3 linked regions of the Anolis sagrei genome follow. The protein of the gene in region 1 interacts with the protein of each later gene in a biochemical or structural test. Links are inferred from orthologs where the notes say so. Each region holds a gene or a part of one and is shown in the gene's direction. Other genes may lie near its edges.

Evidence for each region. The genes of interacting proteins can lie anywhere in the genome.
Region 2: the proteins of ERBB2 (region 1) and PTPN11 form a complex in vitro, tested with the Homo sapiens proteins (2 studies listed by BioGRID and IntAct, with this or other methods). The link is inferred for Anolis sagrei from reciprocal best matches to the Homo sapiens genes ERBB2 and PTPN11.
Region 3: the proteins of ERBB2 (region 1) and BLK form a complex in vitro, tested with the Homo sapiens proteins (2 studies listed by BioGRID and IntAct, with this or other methods). The link is inferred for Anolis sagrei from reciprocal best matches to the Homo sapiens genes ERBB2 and BLK.

Annotation. Positions count from the first base shown.
Region 1 is NC_090026.1:42,798,720-42,806,629, reverse strand, and holds the start of ERBB2 (receptor tyrosine-protein kinase erbB-2), read left to right. Parts: upstream 1-4,896; 5' UTR 4,897-5,149; coding exon 5,150-5,231; intron 5,232-7,910. UniProt on the Homo sapiens protein: Protein tyrosine kinase that is part of several cell surface receptor complexes, but that apparently needs a coreceptor for ligand binding. Essential component of a neuregulin-receptor complex, although neuregulins do not interact with it alone.
Region 2 is NC_090034.1:30,299,998-30,307,310, reverse strand, and holds the start of PTPN11 (tyrosine-protein phosphatase non-receptor type 11), read left to right. Parts: upstream 1-4,305; 5' UTR 4,306-4,444; coding exon 4,445-4,458; intron 4,459-7,313. Other genes in the region: RPL6 (large ribosomal subunit protein eL6), read right to left, coding at 1,481-1,504. UniProt on the Homo sapiens protein: Acts downstream of various receptor and cytoplasmic protein tyrosine kinases to participate in the signal transduction from the cell surface to the nucleus. Positively regulates MAPK signal transduction pathway. Dephosphorylates GAB1, ARHGAP35 and EGFR.
Region 3 is NC_090021.1:10,031,951-10,039,668, forward strand, and holds the start of BLK (tyrosine-protein kinase Blk), read left to right. Parts: upstream 1-4,710; 5' UTR 4,711-4,713; coding exon 4,714-4,836; intron 4,837-7,718. UniProt on the Homo sapiens protein: Non-receptor tyrosine kinase involved in B-lymphocyte development, differentiation and signaling. B-cell receptor (BCR) signaling requires a tight regulation of several protein tyrosine kinases and phosphatases, and associated coreceptors.

The DNA of each region.
Region 1 (7,910 bases):
TGAATGAAAATACATCCTGTATATCAGATATTACATTATGATTCATAACAGTAGCAAAATTACAGTTTTGCTATGAAAATAATTTTATGGCTGGGGGTCATCACAACATGAGGAACTGTATTATGGGATTGCGGCAGTAGGAAGGTTGAGAAACATTGATATAGTGTTATCTAAAAAAAGTTGGAAAACGAGTAAAAATCAACTGACAATGAGTGTGTGTTTCATAGAATAGTCATAGTAGTTGTGTGTTCAATATGTTTTTATTAGTGCTGGAATTATTTATGTTGTAATAGTTTTATATCTATTATGAAGAAATGTTTTTCTGTATTGTATTATATTCTGAATAAAAACCAATAAAGAGAAAAGAAAGCTAACGGCATGTTTTGTGTTTCAGCTGCTTGAAACCTGGTATGTTTCCACCCCTGTTCCGAACAAGTACTATGGTAACATTTGTTGACTAAACAGTAATGTTTCCCCACTTCTTTCAGTTCCTCGGAAAACCACTTACGCCCATGTTTTGGCAATGTTCAAGTATATCCACTTGATTGAAGTAACCAAGATGAAACATTTGTTTAAGCAGTGAATCAACTGAAGCCGAAGTTATTGTCAAGTCAGATTCAACTTATACTGACCTTATGGATGCAGGATGTCAATGAGTTCAGTGACCTATAGCCCTGCTCAGGTTCCTCATACTCAGGGATTTGGCTTCCGTGATTGACTCAATCCATCCTCATTGTGGTTTTCCTCATTTCTCATTACACTATGTAACAAAATTTGAAAAAAATTCTGTTCCTGGTTTGAAAGTGTTATTTCCTGTTTAATTGTGCGGTATTTACCTTGAAAGTAGTTGTTATATTCCAGAAATCATAGAATCATAGAATCAAAGAGTTGGAAGAGACCTCGTGGGCCATCCAGTCCAAACCCCTGCCAAGAAGCAGGAATATTGCATTCAAATCACCCCTGACAGATGGCCATCCAGCCTCTGTTTAAAAGCTTCCAAAGAAGGAGCCTCCACTACACTCCGGGGCAGAGAGTTCCACTGCTGAACGGCCCTCACAGTCAGGAAGTTCTTCCTCTTGTTCAGAGGGAATCTCCTCTCTTGTAGTTTGAAGCCATTGTTCCGCGTCCTAGTTTCCAAGGAAGCAGAAAACAAGCTTGCTCCCTCCTCCCTGTTGCTTCCTCTCACATATTTATACATGGCTATCATATCTCCTCTCAACCTTCTCTTCTTCAGGCTAAACATGCCCAGCTCCTTAAGCCGCTCCTCATAGGGCTTGTTCTCCAGACCCTTGATCATTTGAGTCGCCCTCCTCTGGACACATTCCAGCTTGTCAATATCTCTCTTGAATTGTGGTGCCCAGAATTGGACACAATATTCCAGGTGTGGTCTAACCAAAGCGGAATAGAGGGGTAGCATGACTTCCCTAGATCTAGACCAGGGGTCCTCAAACTTTTTAAACTGAGGGCCAGGTCACAGTCCCTCAAACTGTTGGAGGGCCGAGTTATAATTTGAAGAAACATTAATGAATTCCTATGGATACTGCATATATCTTATTTGTAGTGCAAAAAACACTTTAAAACAATACAATAATTAAAATAAATAACAATTTTAGCAAATATAAATTTATTAGTATTTCAATGGGAAGTGTGGGCCTGCTTTTGGCTGATGAAATAGGGTTGTTGCTGTTGTGGTTGTTGTTGTGTGCTTTTAAGTCATTTCAGACTTAGTTTGATCCTGAGCGAGGGCCGGGTAAATAACCTCTGAGGGCCGTATCTGGCCCCCGGGCCTTAGTTTGAGGACCCCTGATCTAGACACTATGCTCCTATTGATGCAGGCCAAAATCCCATTGGCTTTTTTTTGCGCCACATCACATTGTTGGCTCATATTTAACTTATTGTCCACAAAGACTCCAAGATCTTTTTCACACGTACTGCTCTCAAGCCAGGCACCCCCCATTCTGTATCTTTGCATTTCGTTTTTTCTGCCTAAGTGGAGTATCTTGCATTTGCCCCTGTTGAACTTCATTTTGTTAGTTTTGGCCCATCTCTCTAATCTGTCAAGATCGTTTTGAATCCTGCTCCTGTCCTCTGGAGTATTGGCTATCCCTCCCAATTTGGTGTCGTCTGCAAACTTGATGATCCTGCCTTCTAGCCCTTCATCTAAGTCATTAATAAAGATGTTGAACAGGACCCGGCCTAGGACGGAACCCTGCGGCACTCCACTTGTCACTTCTTTCCAGGATGAAGAGGAAGAATTGGTGAGCACCCTCTGGGTTCGCCCATTTAACCAATTACAGATCCACCTCACCGTAGTTTTGCCTAGCCCACATTGGACTAGTTTCCTTGCCAGAAGGTCATGGGGGACCTTGTCGAAGGCCTTACTGAAATCCAGGTACGCTACATCCACGGCATTCCCCGCATCTACCCAGCTTGTAACTCTATCGAAAAAAGAGATCAGATTAGTCTGGCATGACTTGTTTTTGATAAATCCATGTTGACTATTAGCGATGACCGCATTTGATTCTAAGTGTTTGCAGACCACTTCCTTAATAATCTTTTCCAGAATCTTGCCTGGTATCAACGTGAGGCTGACCGGACGGTAGTTGTTTGGGTCATCCTTTTTTCCCTTCTTGAAGATTGGGACCACATTGGCCCTCCTCCAAATGTGTGTTTTGTGGCTGACACAAGCTATGTTGAATTGGTTGAAACTTAATTAGCAATTAAGATCCTCTAAACTGGTGTCCAGCGGGATTTTGATTTTATTATATTGGTACCAGCAGGCGTGATATATTAGAAGGTATAATACCAAGATATAATACCATTGAAAAATTATAGCAAAATGTACTGCAGGACTTAATAAACTTTCCCCATGTTTTTATGATAGAACCAATGATAGGAAATTACATTTATAACCTAGGAACAAAAATTGTGTTAGCATATTTATTTATTTACAAATTTTATATGCCGCCTTTCTCACCCCGAAGGGGGCTCAGAGCGGCTTACAAGGCATATATTATATACATACAATATATTATATTATTAGCACAGTACAATATCAGCATTAAACATTGCTATATTGCACCATACCACTATATCGTAATATTATTAGGAATATTACATCTATATAAATAAAAATGTAATGTTCATTTGTGGGATTAACAGAACTCAAAAACCACTGGATGAATTGACACCAAATTTGGACACAAGACACCTAACAACCCAATGTATGTCTTTCACTAAAAAAATGATTTTGTCATTTGGGAGCTGTAGTTGCTGGGATTGATAGTTCACCTACAATTAAAGAGCATTCTGAACCCCACCAATGATGAAATTGAACCAAACTTGGCACACAGTTCTCCCATGACCAACAGAAAATACTGGAAAGGTTTGGTGGGCAGTGCCCTTTGGTTTTGGAGTTGTAGTTCACCTACATCCAGAGATCACTATGGACTCAAACAATGATGGACCTGGACCAAACTCTATACAAACACTCAATATGTCCGAATGCGAACTCTGGTAGAGTTTGGGGTAAATAAAATCTTGACATTCGGGAGTTGTAGTTGCTGGGATTTATAGTTCACCTACAATCAAAGAGCATTCTGAACCCCACCAACGATAGAATTGGGCCAGACCTCCCACAGAACCCCCATGTGGGCCACAGCAACGCGTGGCAGGGGACGGCTAGTCTGGGATAAACAGGAAACCTGTGATCATAACTCAGATAACTAAGGGCCCTTTTTCACATCTTTATATCCCAGAATAGAAAGGCAGAAAATCCCACAATAACTGGGTTATCCGAGTCCACAGTCAGATAATGTGGGATTTCCTGCCTTGATGTTCTGGGATATAAGGTTGTGCAGAAGGGCCTATAGCAGTGTTTCTCAACCTGGGGGTTGGGACCCCTGGAGGGGTCACAAGGGGGTGTCAGAGGGGTCACCAAAGACCACAAGAAAACACAGTATTTTCTGTTGGCCATGGAGGTTCTGTGTGGGAAGTTTGGCCCAATTCAGTCGTTGGCAGGGTTCAAAATGCTCTTTGATTATACGTGAACTATATAAATCTATTTTCCCTAAACCCCACTAGTGTTTACATTTGGGCATATTGAGAATTCGTGCCAAGTTTGGCCCAGATCCATCATTGTTTGAATCCACAGTGCTCTCTGGATGTAGATGAACTACAACTCCCAAAACTCAAGGTTCAATTCCCACCAAACTCTTCTAGTATTTTCTCTTGGTCATGGGTGTTCTGTGTACCAAGATAGGTTCAATTCCATCATTGGTGGAGTTCAGAATGCTCTTTGATTGTAGGTGAACTAGAAATCCCTGCAACTACAACTCCCACAGGGCAAAATCAATACCCTCCTCCAATCCCACCAGTATTTAAATTTGGGTATATTGGGTCTTTGTGCCAAGTTTGGTCCAGTGTATGAAAATACATCCTGCATATCAGATATTTACATTACTATTCATAACAGCAGCAAAATGACAGCTATGAAGTAGCAATGAAACTAATTTTATGGTTGGGGGTCACCACAACATGAGGAAGTGGATTAAGGGGTCATGGCATTAGGAAGGTTGAGAACCACTGGCCTATAGTTATCTGAGGGTCCCTCCAGACAGGCCCTATATTCCAGGATATGATCCCAGGTTTTCTGCTTTAAACTGGATTATATGAGTCCACACTGCCAGAGAAAACCTGGGATGAGATCCTGAGATATAGATCCTGCACACTCAGATATTGTGGGATTTCTTGCCTTGGGATATAGGGCTGTGTGGAAGAGTCCTGAGTCGTGGCAGTGAAAGCAGTGCTCAACTTGGCCTCTTCCAAAGTGTGTCCCAAAGTGGAATGAATGGCTTTGCAGCGTGAGCCGGATTCCTCCTCGGGGGCGCGCCGCGCGCGTTCCCGACGCTCAAGGTTGGAGGAGAAAGAAGGTGGTGGCTTCTCTCTTTCTCTCCTTTCCCTTCGCGGAAGTGGGAAGCAAAAAGTCGGAGTTGTGAAGTTGGGATCGGGAAGGAAAGTGGGACGAGCAAGCTCTTGCAAAGGCAAACCAACCGATCGGGCTGGATTCGGAGGAAAGGATTTGGAAAAGAAGAAGGAACTCCTCCAGCCAAGTTTGGAAGGATGAGCCGGGCTTGGTCATGACAAAACAATGGGGCCCTTTCTCAGCCCCGGTTGGCTTGGCTTGGGGTTCCTCCTGGGATCGGTTCTGCCCAGGGTTTGGGCCACCGAAGGTAAGTCCAAGTTGCATTGTTTGGGTTCCTACAAACAGACACAAGCAAAAAAATGAGATTTGAGGACTGTGGAAAGAGGGCAGGGACAATTTGGCTAGATCTACATTGCATTGTATGTTCAATATAGACCATGTATGGGCAAACTTGAGCCCTGCAGGTGCTTTGGACTTCAACTCCCATCATTCCTCACAGCCTCAGGCCCTTTCCTTTCCCCCCACAGCCGCTTAATGCAGTTTGATACTCCTTTAATTGCATTTGCTCAGTGTTATGAAGTGCTGGGAATTGTAGTTTGGGGAGGGACCAGCACTTTAGTACACAAAGCTAAAGATCCTGTAAAACTTTAATACTGTCCCAATTAATGCAGTTTGATACTCTTTTAATTGCATTTGCTCAATGTTATGGAGTGCTGGGAATTGTAGTTTGGGGGAGGGACCAGCACTTTGGTACAGAAAGCTAAAGATCCTGTAAAACTTTAATAAGGTCCCAACTGATGCAGTTTGATACTCCTTTAATTGCATTTGCGCGATGTTATGGAGTGCTGGGAATTGTAGTTTGTAGCTTAAGTACTAATTTGATACTCCTAATTTGATACTCCTTTAATTGCATTTGCCCAATGTTATGGAGTGCTGGGAATTGTAGTTTGGGGAGGGACCAGCACTTTAGTAAAGAAAGTTAAAGATCATGTAAAACCTTAATACTGTCCCAATTAATGCAGTTTGATACTCCATTAATTGCATTTGCTCAATGTTATGGAGTGCTGGGAATTGTAGTTTGGGGAGGGACCAGCACTTTGGTACAGAAAGCTAAAGATCATGTAAAACCTTAATACTGTCCCAATTAATGCAGTTTGATACTCCTTTAATTGCATTTGCTCAGTGTTATGGAGTGCTGGGAATTGTAGTTTGTAGCATAAGTACTGTCCCAATTGATCTAGTTTGATACTCCTTTAATTGCATTTGCTCAATGTTATGGAGTGCTGGGAATTGTAGTTTGTAGCTTAAGTACTGTCCCAATTGATCTAATTTGATACTCCTTTAATTGCATTTGCTCAATGTTATGGAGTGCTGGGAATTGTAGTTTGGGGAGGGGGCCAGCATTTTGGTATAGAAAGCTAAAGATCTTGTAAAACTTCAGTACTGTCCCAATTGATCTAGTTTGATACTCCTTTAATTGCATTTGCTCAATGTTATGGAGTACTGTCCCAATTGATCTAGTTTGATACTCCTTTAATTGCATTTGCTCAATGTTATGGAGTGCTGGGAATTGTAGTTTGGGGAGGGACCAGCACAAAGCTAAAGACCTTGTAAAACTTCAGTACTGTCCCAATTAATCTAGTTTGATACTCCTTTCATTGCATTTGCTCAATGTTATGGAGTTCTGGGAATTGTAGTTTGTAGTTTAAGTACTGTCCCAATTAATCTAGTTTGATACTCCTTTAATTGCATTTACTCAATGCTATGGAATGCTGGGAATCGTAGTTTGTAGCTTAAGCGGCTGAGAGGGAAAGAGAAGGGGCCTGAGGCTGTTAGGAATGGTGGGAGTTGAAGTCCAAAGCACCTGGAGGGCCCCAAGTTTCCTAATGCCTGGTCAAGACCTTGCAAAACTCCCCAACTTCCTAGGATTCCCTTGCATTATGCCCTAGTTGCTAAAGTGGTGTCAAAGCACATTTGTTCCCTATCTGCATGTCAAAACAGTCCAGGAGTCAGGAGAGAGAAAGCAAAGCTGTTGTGCAAGTGGTTCCCATCCGCTGGGGGATTGGAAATCTTGAGAAATGGGGTCTCAGATCACTTTCCAATTGGATTGGCTGAGATTGCAGTTCAGAAGTAAACAAAACCCTGCTGGGCTCTGCCTTGGTTAATGAATGCCTTTGGTTGGAGATAGTGTGCCTCCTTCCTAGAAAGAAAGCTCTTGCAAGGTCCCCAATCAATAAATCAATCAATTGCCTTGGCCAACCCCGCCCTTACAATCTGTATTGCTGCAATCCACAGGGAACAAGCCTTATCTGGTTTCGCTTCGGTTTAGGGACGTGTGGAGATAGTAGCATACTCCAGAGATAAGTTTCACACTCATAGGTTTGGCTGCCTTTGCACTGTGTTTGTCTTGAGCTGGAGGAGTTGGGTGCTCCTTCTTTTGAAGAAAAAGTTTGCATCTACACTATAGAAGGCATGTGGTGTGACACCACTTTCACTGCTATGGAATGCTTTAGTGTGTGTTCCTCCAAGTCTTTTCTGATTTATTTATGATGACCTTCACCTCCATGTATGCATTATCCCTTTGTTCATTACATGCAACACTAAAGGCTCAGGGTTTATACTGACCCAATTAATGGATTTTGATACTCCTGCAATTGAATTTGCGCAATGTTATGGAATGCTGGGAATTGTAGTTTGGGGAGGGACCAGCATTTTGGTACAGAAAGCTAAAGACCTTGTAAAACTTCAATACTTTACCAATTAATGCATTTTGATACTCCTGTAAATTGCATTTGCTCAATGTTATGGAATGCTGGGAATTGTAGTTTGGGGCTGGACCAGCATTTTGGTATAGAATACTAAACACCTTGCAAAATTTCAATACTGTTCCAATTAATGAATTATGATACTCCTGTAATTGAATTTGCTCAATGTTATGGAATGCTGGGAATTGTAGTTTGGGGAGGGACCAGCATTTTGGTACAGA
Region 2 (7,313 bases), on another chromosome or scaffold:
CCATTTGGGAATTTGGATACAGATGTGACCAAACATTACAGTACACATCAACTGGAGCAAGAATGGTATATATGCACAATATTGGAAAAAGATAGAATCGCTGACAGCTGAAGATTTGATCATAGAAACTTTCTAAAGGACATAATTCGCAATGATGCACAGGGACAAAACCCAAAGTGACTATGGATGGACTGCCCCTCCCCTCCCCCCATTGCCCTACAGCATCCAATCCCAGATTATCTGCTTTCAAATGGATCATGAGTCTACACTGCCAAATAACCTGGGATCATATCCTGGAATATATATAGGGCAGCATAGATCCAGCCTGGGAAGCATTTTTGAACTTACACAATTGTGGACTGAAGGCTTCAAGTCAGTTTGAGGCAGGGGGAAATGTGTATATTGCAAATATCTATGCTAGAGAGTTCAACCTAGCATCCTTATCTTGGAAAATATTAGTCCTATGTATTCAAAGTAGTACATCTTAAATGCCCCTTTCCCAAAATGCTTGAGCCAGAAGCACTTGGGGGTTTTTTTGTCCCCAAAATGTAGATGTCTTTATTTAGCTGGAGTTGGAAGCCAAATCTAAACAAAGTACAATCAAAATTTTCCATAAGCCCCATTCAATATCGATGTATTGCATTTTAATCCTGCTTTTCTCCCCATTTAAGGACTCCAGGCAGTAAACAATCAGTATCCTGTCTCCAAAAGACAGCAACGTTTAGTCCAAAATTCAAAGCAGCCTGGCCCAAAGTTACCCTTCAACCTTGGTCCCACATTGCACAACCAACTCCATGGGCCAGTCTGGCTCTTTCTGCAGCCAAATCTCTGACATCATGGACCTGGTATATAAAAATATAACATATACAATGCAATACAAATATATGTGTATTTATCTATACCCTATTTCTCTCTCCAAGGAGAGGTAAAGCGGCTACATAATATATACACACACACCTACATATATTACATACACATGTAACATTGCATTGTATAAAGTATTATTTATTATATATGTTATATATCTACATATGTTATATACATATATGTTACAATGTAGAATGTGTATTACATGTAATATATATTACATATTACATGATACATTTTATTTTATATATATATATATACACACACACACACACACACATATATAAAATCTACATATACATCTATATGTGCAATGCTAGGGAAGGCTGGGAGTTGTAGCTTGGCCAGGGCTTCAAGGGCTGGCAGCTCCCCAAACTACAACTCCCACCATTGCCCTGCATGGAGCTTGAGCAGATCAACTGCATGGGATTCTACAGGCAGCTTACAAGCATGGTCAATGACCAGCATCATGTATCTGAAGATACATCCACCTAAGATATATAGGATTCCAAGACACAGGCCTAAGGCTAAAAGACACGAAAATAATGCAGGCCTATCATATAGAAGTTCAAATGGAAGCTTTGCAAGAGATGAGGTTCAAATGCAGGTTTACCCCGTAAAGCAGGCATGGGCCCATGTTTGACCATGCCTGCCGTAAGGCAAAACTGTCCCTAAAAAGACAAACTCAATGGCTCCGAGCGCGGCCTATCCTGCAGGGCGACGCCTTCCCGCTCTCCACTCCCAAAATAGCAACCCCTCGCCTCCCGCTAGACATCCCCGAAGCTCTCGGTGCCTCCCCGCCTCCCGGGCGGCGCTCCTGTGTGGAGGATGGCCGCGGATAACAACACCGAGATTCAACGGAGAAGAGCCGCGCCGCCGCCATCCTTACCTTCCGAGATGGAGCAAAAAAGGAGGCAACATCCGGGAACTCGGCACTAAAGGGAGTAAGTGACGTGACGTCAGCGCGCTGGCCGGAAAGCCTCGAACGTCCGACAGATGGCGCTCTGGACGATAGCCGATTGATGTTATTAAAGGTGTCAGAAGCTAATTGAGAATACACTTATAATGTGTAAAATACTACAGACAAAGTGCCCTTCCAGATAGGCCCTATATCCCAGGATCTCAACCCAGGTTTTCTGCCTTAAATCGGATTACGTGAGTCCGAACTGCCAGATCATTTGGGATAAACAGAAAACCTGGGATCAGATCCTGGGATATAGGGCCTGCCTGGAAGGGCCCTTAGACTGCATTATAGTCAGTGTGGTTTGTTCTCCTCCGCACTCGCATGTTGTGGGTTCCACTTTGTGGCCCCGTTTCTTAAGATTGTTGCTGCATCTCGTAGTGCCAGAGCGCAGCCTGTTCAGCACTTTCCAAGTCGTCTAGTTTTCTATGTGCCCAGGAGGGAGTCTCTCACCCAGTCTCAACCAATGATTCAAGTTGCAGGTTTTAGCCTGCCACTTTTGGACTATTGCTTGCTGAGGTATTCCTGTGAGTAGATCTTAGGAAGCTGTTTCTTGATATAAGGTGTTGGCTTGCTGGCTGATGTCTGAACAGAGGACAGGCCAGAGATGTCCTTTCATTAATGGCTGCTACTTCCCGACAGATGTCAGGTGGTGCAACACCAGCTAAGCAGTATAATTTCTCCAGTGCCACATCTACTGTTTTAATGTGATGAGATTTATTCCACGCTGAGCATGCGTATTCAGCAGCAGAGTAGCGAATTGCAAAGGCAGATGTCTTCACTGTGTCTGGTTGTGATCCCCAGGTTGTGCCAGTCAGCTTTCCTATGATATTATTTCTAGAGCCCACTTTTTGCTTGATAGTCAAGCAGTGCTTCTTTTGAATCAGAGCTTGGTCCAGGGTAACTCCCAGGTATTTGTGCGTGCTGCAATGCTCTAGTGGGATTTCTTAAGGTGAAAAGCACATGCCTGCGTTTCGGATGGATTAGGAATCAGCCAGATTTCGCTGTAATAGACAGTAAGAGCACCTAGAGCTTCAGAGAGCTTCTGTTCAACCATTTCAAAGCTCCCTGCTTGAGTGGTGATGGCACGATCGTCAGCATAGATGAAACTCTGTATCTCACTGCCAGTTTGAGACACAATTGAGCTATAAAAACATTAAATGCAGGCATTTCCTATCAAGACCAATCAAGAACCTTAAAGAAGTGCAATGATTTTTAACTTTGAATGTTTTGATGGTTTTGATCTGAAATTTTGAATGCTGTTTGTTTTTTTTGTTGTTCATTCGTTCAGTCGTCTCCGACTCTTCGTGACCTCATGGACCAGTCCACGCCAGAGCTCCCTGTCGGCCGTCACCACCCCCAGCTCCTTCAAGGTCAGTCCAGTCACTTCAAGGATGCCATCCATCCATCTTGCCCTTGGTCGGCCCCTCTTCCTTTTGCCTTCGACTTTCCCCAGCATCATTGTCTTCTCCAGGCTTTGCTGTCTCCTCATGATGTGGCCAAAGTACTTCAACTTTGTCTCTAGTATCCTTCCCTCCAGTGAGCAGCCGGGCTTTATTTCCTGGAGGATGGACTGGTTGGATCTTCTCACAGTCCAAGGCACTCTCAGAACTTTCCTCCAACACCACAGCTCAAAAGCATCGATCTTCCTTCGCTCAGCCGTCCCTAAGGTCCAGCTCTCACATCCGTAGGTTACGACAGGGAATACCATGGCTTTGACTAGGCGGATCTTTGTTGCCAGTCTGATGTCTCTACTCTTTACTATTTTATCGAGACTGGACATTGCTCTCCTCCCAAGAAGTAAGCGTCTCCTGATTTCCTGGCCACAGTCTGCATCTGCAGTAATCTTTGCGCCTAGGAATACAAACTCTGTCACGGCCTCCACATTTTCTCCCTCTATTTTCCAGTTGTCAATCATTCTTGTTGCCATAATCTTGGTTTTTTTAATGTTTAGCTGTTTGTGTTTAATTCTGTTTTAATGTTTGTATATTTGCAATTGGATACCAATGCTTTTATGTCAAGCCACTTTTGAGTCCCCTTTGGGGAGATAAAGTGGGGTGTAAATAAATATAACAATAAGAGCCAAGCTGAAGAAATGGGGCTAAAGTGGAGTCCACGACATGCGAGTGTGGAGGAGAGCAAATCCAGACTATCTACTACAATGCAGCTTGAGCCCTGCCACATACACAATGGAGGACCTTCTCACAGCGACACCAGAGGCACTCCAAGTGGGCAGCCCCTGGTCAAAGGACATTTGGGACAATGCCAAGTTTCTAACTTTGTCTGTGGTTTTTAAATACATTATCACTGTATTCTCGATTCGCTTCTGACACCAACGAGAACATAAAGCACACGGGTCTGTTTTCCCCCTAACCAACGAAGTCAGAGGCTGAGTTTGGCGGGAGTGTCCCGGATGTTGGGGTGGGGGAGGGGGTGGGGGTGGGCGGGGCTTGAGGCGGCGTCGCCGGGGGATGACGCGCGGAGGCGGGTGCAGCGCCGCTGGCCTGTGTGTGGCTGGCTCCCGCTCGGCTCCCGCGGCTGGCCCGGCTCGTGGGCGTCGCCTTTCCCCCTGCGAGGCCCCCGGGCCCCCCTCGGAGGACAACGCTGGCGGGGAAAATGACCTCCCGGAGGTAGGCCCAGCGGAGGGAGGGAGGGAGGGAGGGAGGGAGGGAGGGAGGGAGGGGGGTGGATAGCAGAAGGGGGGGTAGCACCAAGCTCCGCCCCTTTGGCTCTTCCTGTGCCCCCCCCCCCCCCCCGCCCTGCAAAGAGAAGAAGAAAGGACAGCAATCATATGTGTTGTCCAAAACTTTCATGGCCGGAATCACTGGCTTGCTGTGAGTTTTCCGGGCTATGTGGCCAGAGAATCATAGAATTATAATAGAGTTGGAAAAGACCCCATGGGCCATCTAGTCCAACCCCCTGCCATGCAGGATAAGCACCATCAAAACAGCCCCGACAGATGGCCACCCATCCTCTGTTGAAAGGCCTCCAGAGAAGGAGAGAGAGAGAATCCTAGAATAGTAGAGTTGGAAGAGTCCTCGTGGGCCATCTATTCCAACCCCCTTCTGCCAGGCAGGAAAAGCACCATCAAAGCAGCCCCGACAGATGGCCACCCAGCCTCTGTTGAAAGGCCAGAGAAGGAAAGAGAGAAATAGAATCCTAGAGTTGGAAGAGACCTCATGGGCCATCCAGTCCAACCCCATTTTGCCATGCAGGAAACACACAAAGTGATAATAATAATAATAATAATAATAATAACTTCATTTGTAACCCGCCCTATCTGTCTGAGGGGACTCAGGGCGGTTTCTAACAAAGCTGGCCAACATTCAATGCCAAAAAAACAAACAGGCAACAAATCAAATTGAAAACAAATAATAATAACTTCATTTATATCCCGCCACCATCTTCTTCCAAAAAGGGACTCGGGGCGGCTTAGGGACTCGGGCAACATCAATATAAACTTATAGTGACAACCCAAACATAACCAAAATTAAGAACTTTACAAAATTAAGAAATATACATAATATAACACTTCAGACATACTTACAAGTATAAATCTAATGAATAAAAAGCATTAAGATACAAGATAATTTACAGTGACCAAGTATCCCTGACAGATGGCTTTTAAACAGATGGCTCTGTTTAAAAGCCTCCAAGAAAGGAGCTTCCACTGAACTCCAAGGCAGAGAGTTCCACTGCTGAACAGCTCTTCTTACAGTCAGGAAGTTCTTCCTAATGTTCAAGTGGGATCTCCTTTCCTGTCGTTTGAACCCATTGCTCTGAGTCCCAGTCTCAAAACAGGCCTACTCCTTTTTCCTATGACACCCCTTCATGTATGTAAACATAGCTCTCACATCTCCTCTCAACCTTCTCTTCTTCTGCAGGCTAAACAGACCCAGTTCTTTAAGACGCCCCTCAAAGAGTTTATTCATGGTCTCCAGACCTTTGATCCTTTTACTCGCCCTCTTCCTCTGGACACCTTCCAGCTTAGAGTCAGTATCTGCTTTGAACTGTGGTGCCCAGAATTGGACACAGTATTCCAGGTAAAGAGGTCTGACCAAAGCTGAATACAAAGGCACCATGACTTCCCTCGATCTAGACACTAGACTCCTTTGGATGTAGCCCAAAATCCCATTGGCTTTTTGAGCTGCTGCATCACACTCTTGTCTCATGTTCAACTTGTTGTCCACGAAGACTCCAAGATCTTTCTCACCTGGACTATTGTTGAGCCAGGCATCACCCATCCTGAATCTTTTCCTAAGTGTGGTAGCCTACATTTGTCCTTGTTGAAATGCATTTTGTTAGTTTTGGCCAATCCGCTTTCTAATCTGTTAAGGTACTTTTGCTTCCTGATCCTTTTTTCTGTAGTATTAGCTCCCCCTCCCAATTTGGTCCCATCTCCAAACTTGATCAGCCTACCCTCTAAACCTTCATCCCAAGTAATTAATAAAGATGTTGAACAGAACTGGGCCCAGAACAGAACCTTCTTTATGGCACCCAAATAGTCACTTCTTTCCAGGATGAAGAAGATGAACCATTGGGGAGAATCACGTTTGGGTTCAGTTGCTTGACTTATTCCGGATCTACCTAACCATAGTTTTGGCTAGCCCTCATTGGACTAGTCTGTTTGCAAGAAGGTCATGGGGGATTTTGTCAAAGGCCTTCCTGCAATCAAGGTATGCTAAGTCCACAGCTTTCCCTGCATCTACCAAGCTTGTAACTATCAAAAAAAAAAAGAAAAAAAAAGAAAGAGGTAAGACTAGCTTGGCATGACTTGCTTTTGAGAAATCCATGCTGACTTTTAGAAATCACAGCATTCCATGTTCCACTAGCATTATTTTCTGATGTTTCGCCTGCACCTGTGGCTAATGGCATCTTCAGAGGTTCTGCTGCTGGTGAGTGAGGCAAATGGAGCGTGTATGTGTATGCATATATATATGTGTGTGTGTGTGTGTGTGTGTGTGTGTCTGTAGAATAATGTCCAGGGTGGGAGAAAGAACCCTCGTCTGTTTGAAGCAAGTGTGAATGTTGCAATTGGCCGCCTTGATTGACATTGAATAGCCTTGCAGCTTCAAAACCTGGTTGCTTCTTGCATGGGGAATCCTTTGTTGGGAGGTGTTAGCTGGCCCTGATTGTTTCCTGAACAGGTGGGATCCTCTCACCTCTGCAGGAGTCTTCCGCATACCATGCAGCTGTGGTCAAGTCTACAGGGAGAACACTTAACGCAGCATTGCCCAAACACGAATCAAGGAACATGAAAGGCACTTCAGACTAATTCAACCAGAGAAGTCAGCCATAGCAGAGCACTTGATGAACCAACCTGAACACAGTATATTGTTTGAGAATATGGAAATTTTAGACTTCATGTCAGGCTGCACAGAGAAGCCATTGAAATCCATGTGGACAATTTCAACAGAAAGGAAGAAAACATGAAAATGAACAAAATCTGGCTACCAGAATAAAAAAAAAAAACATCAGAATTAAG
Region 3 (7,718 bases), on another chromosome or scaffold:
TGGCCACTTGGAGTGCCTGTGGTGTCACTGTAATAAGGTCCTCCACTGTGCATGTGGCAGGCTCAGGTTGCATTGTAATAGGTGGTTTGTGGTTTGCTCTTCTCCACATTCGCATGTCATGGACTCCACTTTGTGGCCCCACATCTTAAGGTTTGACTCTGCACCTCGTAGTGCCAGAGCACAGTCTGTTCAGCACCTTACAAGTCATCCAGTCTTCTGTGTGCCCAGGAGGTAGTCTCTCATTCGGCATCAACTATGGATTGACCTTCCAGGTTTTAGCCTGCCACTTTTGGACTCTCGCTTGCTGAGGTGTTCCTGTGAGCATCTTTGTAGAAGAAGCTATTTCTTGATTTAAGGCATTGGTGTGCTGGCTGATATCCAAACAGGGGATGGGTTGGAGATGTCACTGCCTTGGTCCTTTCACTATTGGCTGCTACTTCCCGGTGGATGTCAGGTGGTGCAATACTGGCTAAACATATAATTTCTCCAATGGTGTTGGGCATAGGCATCCTGTGATAATGTGGCATGTCTCATTAAGAGCCACATCCACTGTTTTAACATGGTGAGATGTGTTCCACACTGGACATGCATACTCAGCAGCAGAGTAGCACAGCTCAAGGGCAGATGTCTTCACTGTGTCTGGTTGTGATCCTCAGGTTATGCCAGTCAGTTTTTGTATGATATTATTTATAGTGCCCACTTTTTGGTTGTTAGTCAAGCAGTGCTTCTTATAAGTCAGAGCACAGTCCAGGGTAACTCACAGATATTTAGGTGTGCTGCAATGCTCCAGTGGGATTCCTTCCCAGGTAATCCTCAGAGCTTGAAATGCTTGTCTGTTCTTAAATTGAAAAGCTCACATCTATGCTTTAGATGAATTAGGAATCATCTGGTTTTCCCTGTAATAGGAAATAAGAGCACCCAAAGCTTCAGAGAACTTCTGTTCAACAATTTCAAGGCTCCCTGCTTGGTCGGTGATGGCACCATCATCTGCATAGATGAAACTCTTTTGGCAGGGGGTGGTCATTTGTGTAAATATTAAACACCGAGGGAGCAAGCATGCTCCCCTGAGGCAGGCCATTCTTCTGTTTTTGTCATCTGCTTCTCTGGCCCTAGAACTCATCAAAAAGCTCCTGTTTTGTAGCAGATTTTCTATGAAGCAACGAGGGCAACGAGTCCTTGTAGAGTACTTCCTTATTCTTACGCACGCTGCTGGAAGGTTTTATGGTGTTGTAAATTAGTTAAATTAGTAATTTAAATTGGTTAAATTAGTTAAAGCAGTACCTAAATTTCCTACTTGACAGATGCAACTGTCTTTCTGGCTGCATAGATCAACAGCAAACTAGATTATTAATGATCGGGAGCTTACTCCGACCTGGACTGGCTTCAAACTCATGATCTCTCGGTCAGTAGTGATTTAATGCACTAACTAGCTGTGCCATATAAGCATTTCATATATATATGCATAAGCATGGTTTTTTTTAATTGTATCAGAAACTGCAAGTCGCTTCTGGTGTGAGAGAATTGGCCATTTGCAAGGACATTGCCCAGGGGACACCTGGATGTTTTGGTGTTTTACCATCCTTGTGGGAGGCTTCTCTCATGTCCCCGCATGAGGAGCTGGAGCTGACAGAGGGAGCTCATCCATACTCTCCCTGGGTTCGAACCTGCGACCTGTCCATCTTCAGTCCTACCAGTACAGGGGTTTAACCCACTGCGCCCCGGGGGCTCCTATAATCATGGTGATTTTCTGCAAAGATTCAAAGAATAGAGAATTTGCACTCTCTTTTCCTGCCTGTTTATAGTAAAGAGAGATATAGCAACTCTAATATGTGCATATGCAATCTGTTGCCCTGTATATTCAGCAGAAAAGTGGTCCGGTGCAATTGCTCTGAAATCGCATTGAGCATAGATTTGCAACTTTGCGAGTGCAGTATAAGATCTTGTCCCACAGATTTCTGGATTTATGAGTCTGCAAGACCCCTGAGCGCATGCTATAATGGTTTCCACAAGCTAAGGCCATCCCACCCTGAGAAAGGGAGTGACTGGCCATAAATTGGGCATTCTTTAACAAGGAAGGGCAATAAAAGGGGGAACAAACCCAGCTGTTTCAATTTGTCGGCACACTTTTCAGTTGACCGCAGGAATTAAGAAGGCAATTGGAACAAGAGGATGGGGAAGTGAAACATATTTAAAGATTGGATTGTCATTTCTCAGGCTTTGAGAGAGGGTGTTTGCAATGGAAAAGACAATTATTTCCCATTTAAATATGCAGCAGCGAAGGATGTTTTGTGCTCAAATAAGGTAGGAAGCGACAAATATTAGGAAAATTAGTTTTCTCAGTGGTAGTTGTTGGCTTCCATCTTCATCTCCTTCTGGACTTCATCACATCAGCTGTTATCTCATCACCTTCTCTTATCTGAGTTAAGAGTTTCTGTTTTTACCATATAGGTTAAATCACACTGAAGTTGGAACCAAAGGTCAGAACCAACGCAACCTTTAGTTTTCATCCAAATGCCTTGCAAAAGGTGCGGCCACAAATGAGACAGAAGCTCCGTCTGAGAGAGGGAAAAGTAGTGTGCATAGGACCACTCTTGGAAAATATTTAATCCTGTATTCTACTGGTCTAATTAAACCTATTCATTCAATGGGATGACCATAAGTCTTGATTCAGTTTTCAATAATTTAGCGATTTTTCCAGCAGTCACCAACCAACCCATCTGCATTGCCAGAAATACAGCTTAATGGTGTAACATTAGAAAATGTTGACCATTTCCGCTCCCTTGGCAGCCACCTCTCCACAAATGTCAACATTGATACTGAAATACAACATCGCCTGAGCTCTGTGAGTGCAGCATTTTTCCAAATTAAGCAGAGAGTGCGCTGGTACGGCTGTACCAGGAGCTCCAAGCTTATTTTCTTTCTGTTAAAGTTTGCAATCATAGGGCAGGGCTCCTGTCCATCATAATTAAGCTTTGGTTCCGCCCCTTGTTCTGGGCTCTGGGAGGGAAAGGAGCCATTTTTTGGCCAGTTTCACACAAGGTAGCTAAGCTATAGGACGTAGACCAGCTCTTCCCGTAGAAAAGTTTCCTTTCTCAAGAGCATCCAGGGAAAAGTAACGCCCGGGGATACAGAAACAGAAATTCCAGGAGAAAGTTCCCAGAAGCTCTGGCTGAGAGCTCACAGCCTCTCAGCCTCACAGCAACAGAGGGAAAACAGCCCTGAAGTTTCAAAGAATTCTCGGAGGGAGGACAGCATTACAGATCCACAGAACTCCAGCTGAAATATCTTCAAGCCTCGGCTGGTAGGTCTACTCGATACCCAGACGCATTTGGAATCGGTAGTAGGACCCACACCGATGAGGCATAGATAGAAAGCAGCCTGGGAGAGGTTAAAAGGGGGTTTTCCTACAGAGAAAGTTTAGTTAATTAAAGTCAGGTGCCAGTCCATTGAGGACTAGACTTAAAGTCTTGAAGTGTTGTTTGAACCTTTGAAGATTTGTTGTTTGTTCCATAATAAAGACTTTGTTGTATCATTAAAGACTCTAAAGACCATCACTTCAAAAAAAATCCCTAAGAATCTCTCTTTGAGGCGCCCCTGGCTTCGTGCTGGGCTTAAAGTATACGTCCTATAGAAAAGTACAGCTGTTACAGGCCCAGCGTGCGACAGAACAGAGAGTGTTTGAGGACTGGGACATCCGTAGGGATACCAAAGTGCTTCTTTTTAAAGCTATTGTCCTCCCAACCCTGCTATATGTCTGCGAAACGTGGACTATCTATAGACACTATATGCACTCCTGAAACGATTCCATCTGTGCTGCCTCCGGAAAATCCTGCAAATCTTTTGGGAAGACAGGCAGACACATGTCAGCGGGTTGGAAGAAGCAAAGACCACCAGCATTGAAGCGATGGTCTTCCGCCATCCACACCGCTGGACTGGCCTCGTTGTCCAGATGCCCGATCACCCAAAGCAGTTACTTTACTCCAAACTCAAGAATGGGAAATGGAATATTGGAGGACAGGAAAAGAGATTTAAAGATGGGCTCAACACCAACCTTAAAAACTCTGGCATAGACACCGAGAATTGGGAAGTGCTCTAGCTGGAGGTCAGCTGTGTCCAGCAGTGCTGTACGATTTGAAAAGGCATGACTGGAGGGCGAAAGAGAGAAATGTGCCAAGAGGAATGCACGTCAAGCCAACCCCGACCGGGACTGCCTTCCACCTGGAAACCAATGCCCTCACTGTGGGAGAACATGCAGGTTAAGGACAGGGCTCCACAGTCACCTATGTACTCACCGCCAGGACACCGAACTTTAAGGACAATCTTACTCAGACAACGAGGGATCGCCTAAGTAATTCAGCAAGTCAGCTGAGTAGGACCCAGCCCTTATTTTTTGGGGCGGACCAAGACGGTGATGAACAGAAGTCAATACAGGGAAGTCAAAAATAGCTGTGAACAGTTTGAAAATGGTAAACAGAATAGCAGCTTGTTCTAGTCCATTGAGGCTTTGTGGGCAAGTGTTATTTTCCACCAAAGTGGCCACAAGGCTAACATTAGCTCAGAAGGAACCTGGCGGCTGCTTTACAGGCCCCTGGACCCTGGAGAGCATCAGCCGTCCTCCCAGTTGGCTCTTCTGATCTTGTCGGCAGGAAACCACGAACTGACGCAGGCAAGAGGCTTTATTAGGGCATTTCGGTAGACAAGTGACTTTGTCAGATGAAAAAAGCCCTTATCAAGAGCTTAGAAGACTCCAAATGTTTGGTCTTCTTTGGAAGCTGTGGAGGGCTTCTGGGATTTCAAGGGAGATGTTTTGAACGCTGTCGCAAGGAAGACGCCAAGGTGAGAAATTGAACTTGGTGCAAACTTGCAAACCCATAGCATTGGCTCTTTCCAAATGTTGGGACCAAGGGTACATGTATAATGTAACATTAATGTAGTTTGACGCCACTTTGCCTGCCATGGCTCAATGCTGTGGAATGGATGGAGTTGCCATTTTACAAGGCTTTTAGCCTTCTGTGCTGAATAGCGCTAGTGTCTCACCAAACTACAACTCAGGCCGCTTCTACACTGCCACATACAATCCAGATTATCTGCTTTGAACTGGATTATGTGACATCTTAGACTCACATATTCCAGTTCAAAGCAGATAATGTGGATTGTATATGGCAGTGCAGAAGGGGCCTGAGTCCACACTGATAATCTGGATTATATGGCAATGTAGAGGGGGCCTGATGCAGTCATGCTGGCCACATGACCTTGGAGGTGTTTACGGACAACGCTGGCTCTTTGGCTTAGAAATGGAGATGAGCACCACACCCCAGAGTCAGACATGACTGGACTTGATGTCAGGGGACTACCTTTACCTACCTTTAGAGGGGGCCTCAAAAGATTACCTAGCACTCACCCATGACAGTCAAAGTGGTACCAAACTGCATTGACTCTACAGTGTAGATGCATCCCAAGACTAGACTTGAAAATAGATAATCAAATCCAGATTATCTGATTTGAACTGGATTAAACGGCAATGTAGACTCAGGTAGATAGTCTGCTTTGATAATCTGGATTATATGGCAGTGTAGAGGGGGTATCAAAAGATTACCTAGCACCGACCCATGGCAGTCAAAGTGGTATCAAACTGCATTAATTCTACAGTGTAGCTGTACCTCAAGACTAGACTTGATAATAGATAATCAGATCCAAATTATCTGATTTGAACTGGATTAAACGGCAATGTAGACTCAGGTAGATAGTCTGCTTTGATAATCTGGATTATATTCCAGTGTAGAGGGGGTATCAAAAGATTACCTAGCACCGACCCATGGCAGTCAAAGTGGTATCAAACTGCATTAACTCTACAGTGTAAATGCACCCCAAGACTAGACTTGAAAATAGATAATCAAATCCAGATTATCTGATTTGAACTGGATTAAACAGCAATGTAGACTCAGGTAGATAGTCTGCTTTGATAATCTGGATTATATGGCAGTGTAGAGGGGGTATCAAAAGATTACCTAGCACTGACCAATGGCAGTCAAAGTGGTATAAAACTGCATTAATTATACAGTGTAGATGCACCCCAAGACTAGACTTGATAATAGATAATCAAATCCAGATTATCTGATTTGAACTGGATTAAATGGCAGTGTAGACTCAGGTACATAGTCTGCTTTGATTTTAATCAATTTTAATCTATTACATTTGGCCCGGCCATTTTTAAAAATTGTTTATGTCACTATTGATTGTTTTTTGTTTATGTGATTTATATGATTTGTATTTTATTGATTGTTTATTGATGTTGTGTTTATTGATGTTTTGTTTGATGTACTTTGGGCTTGGCCTCATGTAAGCCACACCGAGTCCCTTGGGGAAATGGTAGCGAGGTACAAATAAAGATTATTATTATTATTATTAATTTTACAGTGTAGATGCACCCCAAGAATAGACCAGTTTTCAGAGATTTGGCGTTCTAGACGTTTTGATTTTATTTTCCAGCTGTAGAAAGGAGAATAACTATAACACCCAAAATGTGCCTTCAAATTACCTGTCACCTTTTCATAGAATCATAGAATCAAAGAGTTGGAAGAGACCTCATGGGCCATCCAGTCCAACCCCCTGCCAAGAAGCAGGAATACTGCATTCAAATCACCCCTGACAGATGGCCATCCAGCCTCTGTTTAAAAGCTTCCAAAGAAGGAGCCTCCACCACACTCCGGGGCAGAGAGTTCCACTGCTGAACGGCTCCCACAGTCAGGAAGTTCTTCCTCATGTTCAGATGGAATCTCCTTTCTTGTAGTTTGAAGCCATTGTTCCGCGTCCTAGTCTCCAAGGAAGCAGAACACAAGCTTGCTCCCTCCTCCCTGTGGCTTCCTCTCACATATTTATACATGGCTATCATGTCTCCTCTCAGCCTTCTCTTCTTCAGGCTAAACATGCAAAGTGGTTCCATGCGTTTGTGGTTTTGGTGGTTCCATACGTTTTATAGAATTATTTGTGCAAAGAAGATTCAGAATAGAACTGCTCCAGCTTTTCTCTGAAATATCGTCTACGGCACTTGTTATTCTGCAGCGATTGCCCATCCAAACGCTAACCATGCCTGGCCCTGCTTAACTTCCAAGATCTGATAGGATCTGGCTTGCCAAATATGTAGGCAAAGGAGCCACCATAGTTTGGTTGTCTGAGCATTGACTTACTTTGGAGCATTGCAGAACTATTGGATGATGTTGGGCAAATCTAACTCTCTCCAGAGAAAGGCAATGGCAAATCCTTTCTGAATAAATAATGCCCAGTAAAAGCTTTGCCATACTTTGGAAATCACTTGAAGGCACACAACAAAGACAACAACAGCAACAAACCTCAGGAAAAATCCCTTCCAGCAATGAAACATTTAAATTTTGTTGTTTTTGTTGAGTTTCTAACCTGATAAGCAAACCTATCATGTTTTCTTGGCATGCTTTATTCAGGGTGTGTGTGTGTGTTGTATTGCCTTCCACTGAGACTGGGGGACCTACCCATGGTCTCAATGGCTAAGCAGGGATTTGAACCTTAGTCTTCCAGGTTCCTAACCAAACACACTATACAATTCTGCCTCTCTACCATCTCATTGGGGAGACTGAACATTAATGGGGAGGCAATGCCCCATTTTGTTCTCCTGTAGTTAACTCCACGTGCCAAAGCGAATACAATTGAATTCCATTTCTATTTGGTTGGGCTAAAGATATAAT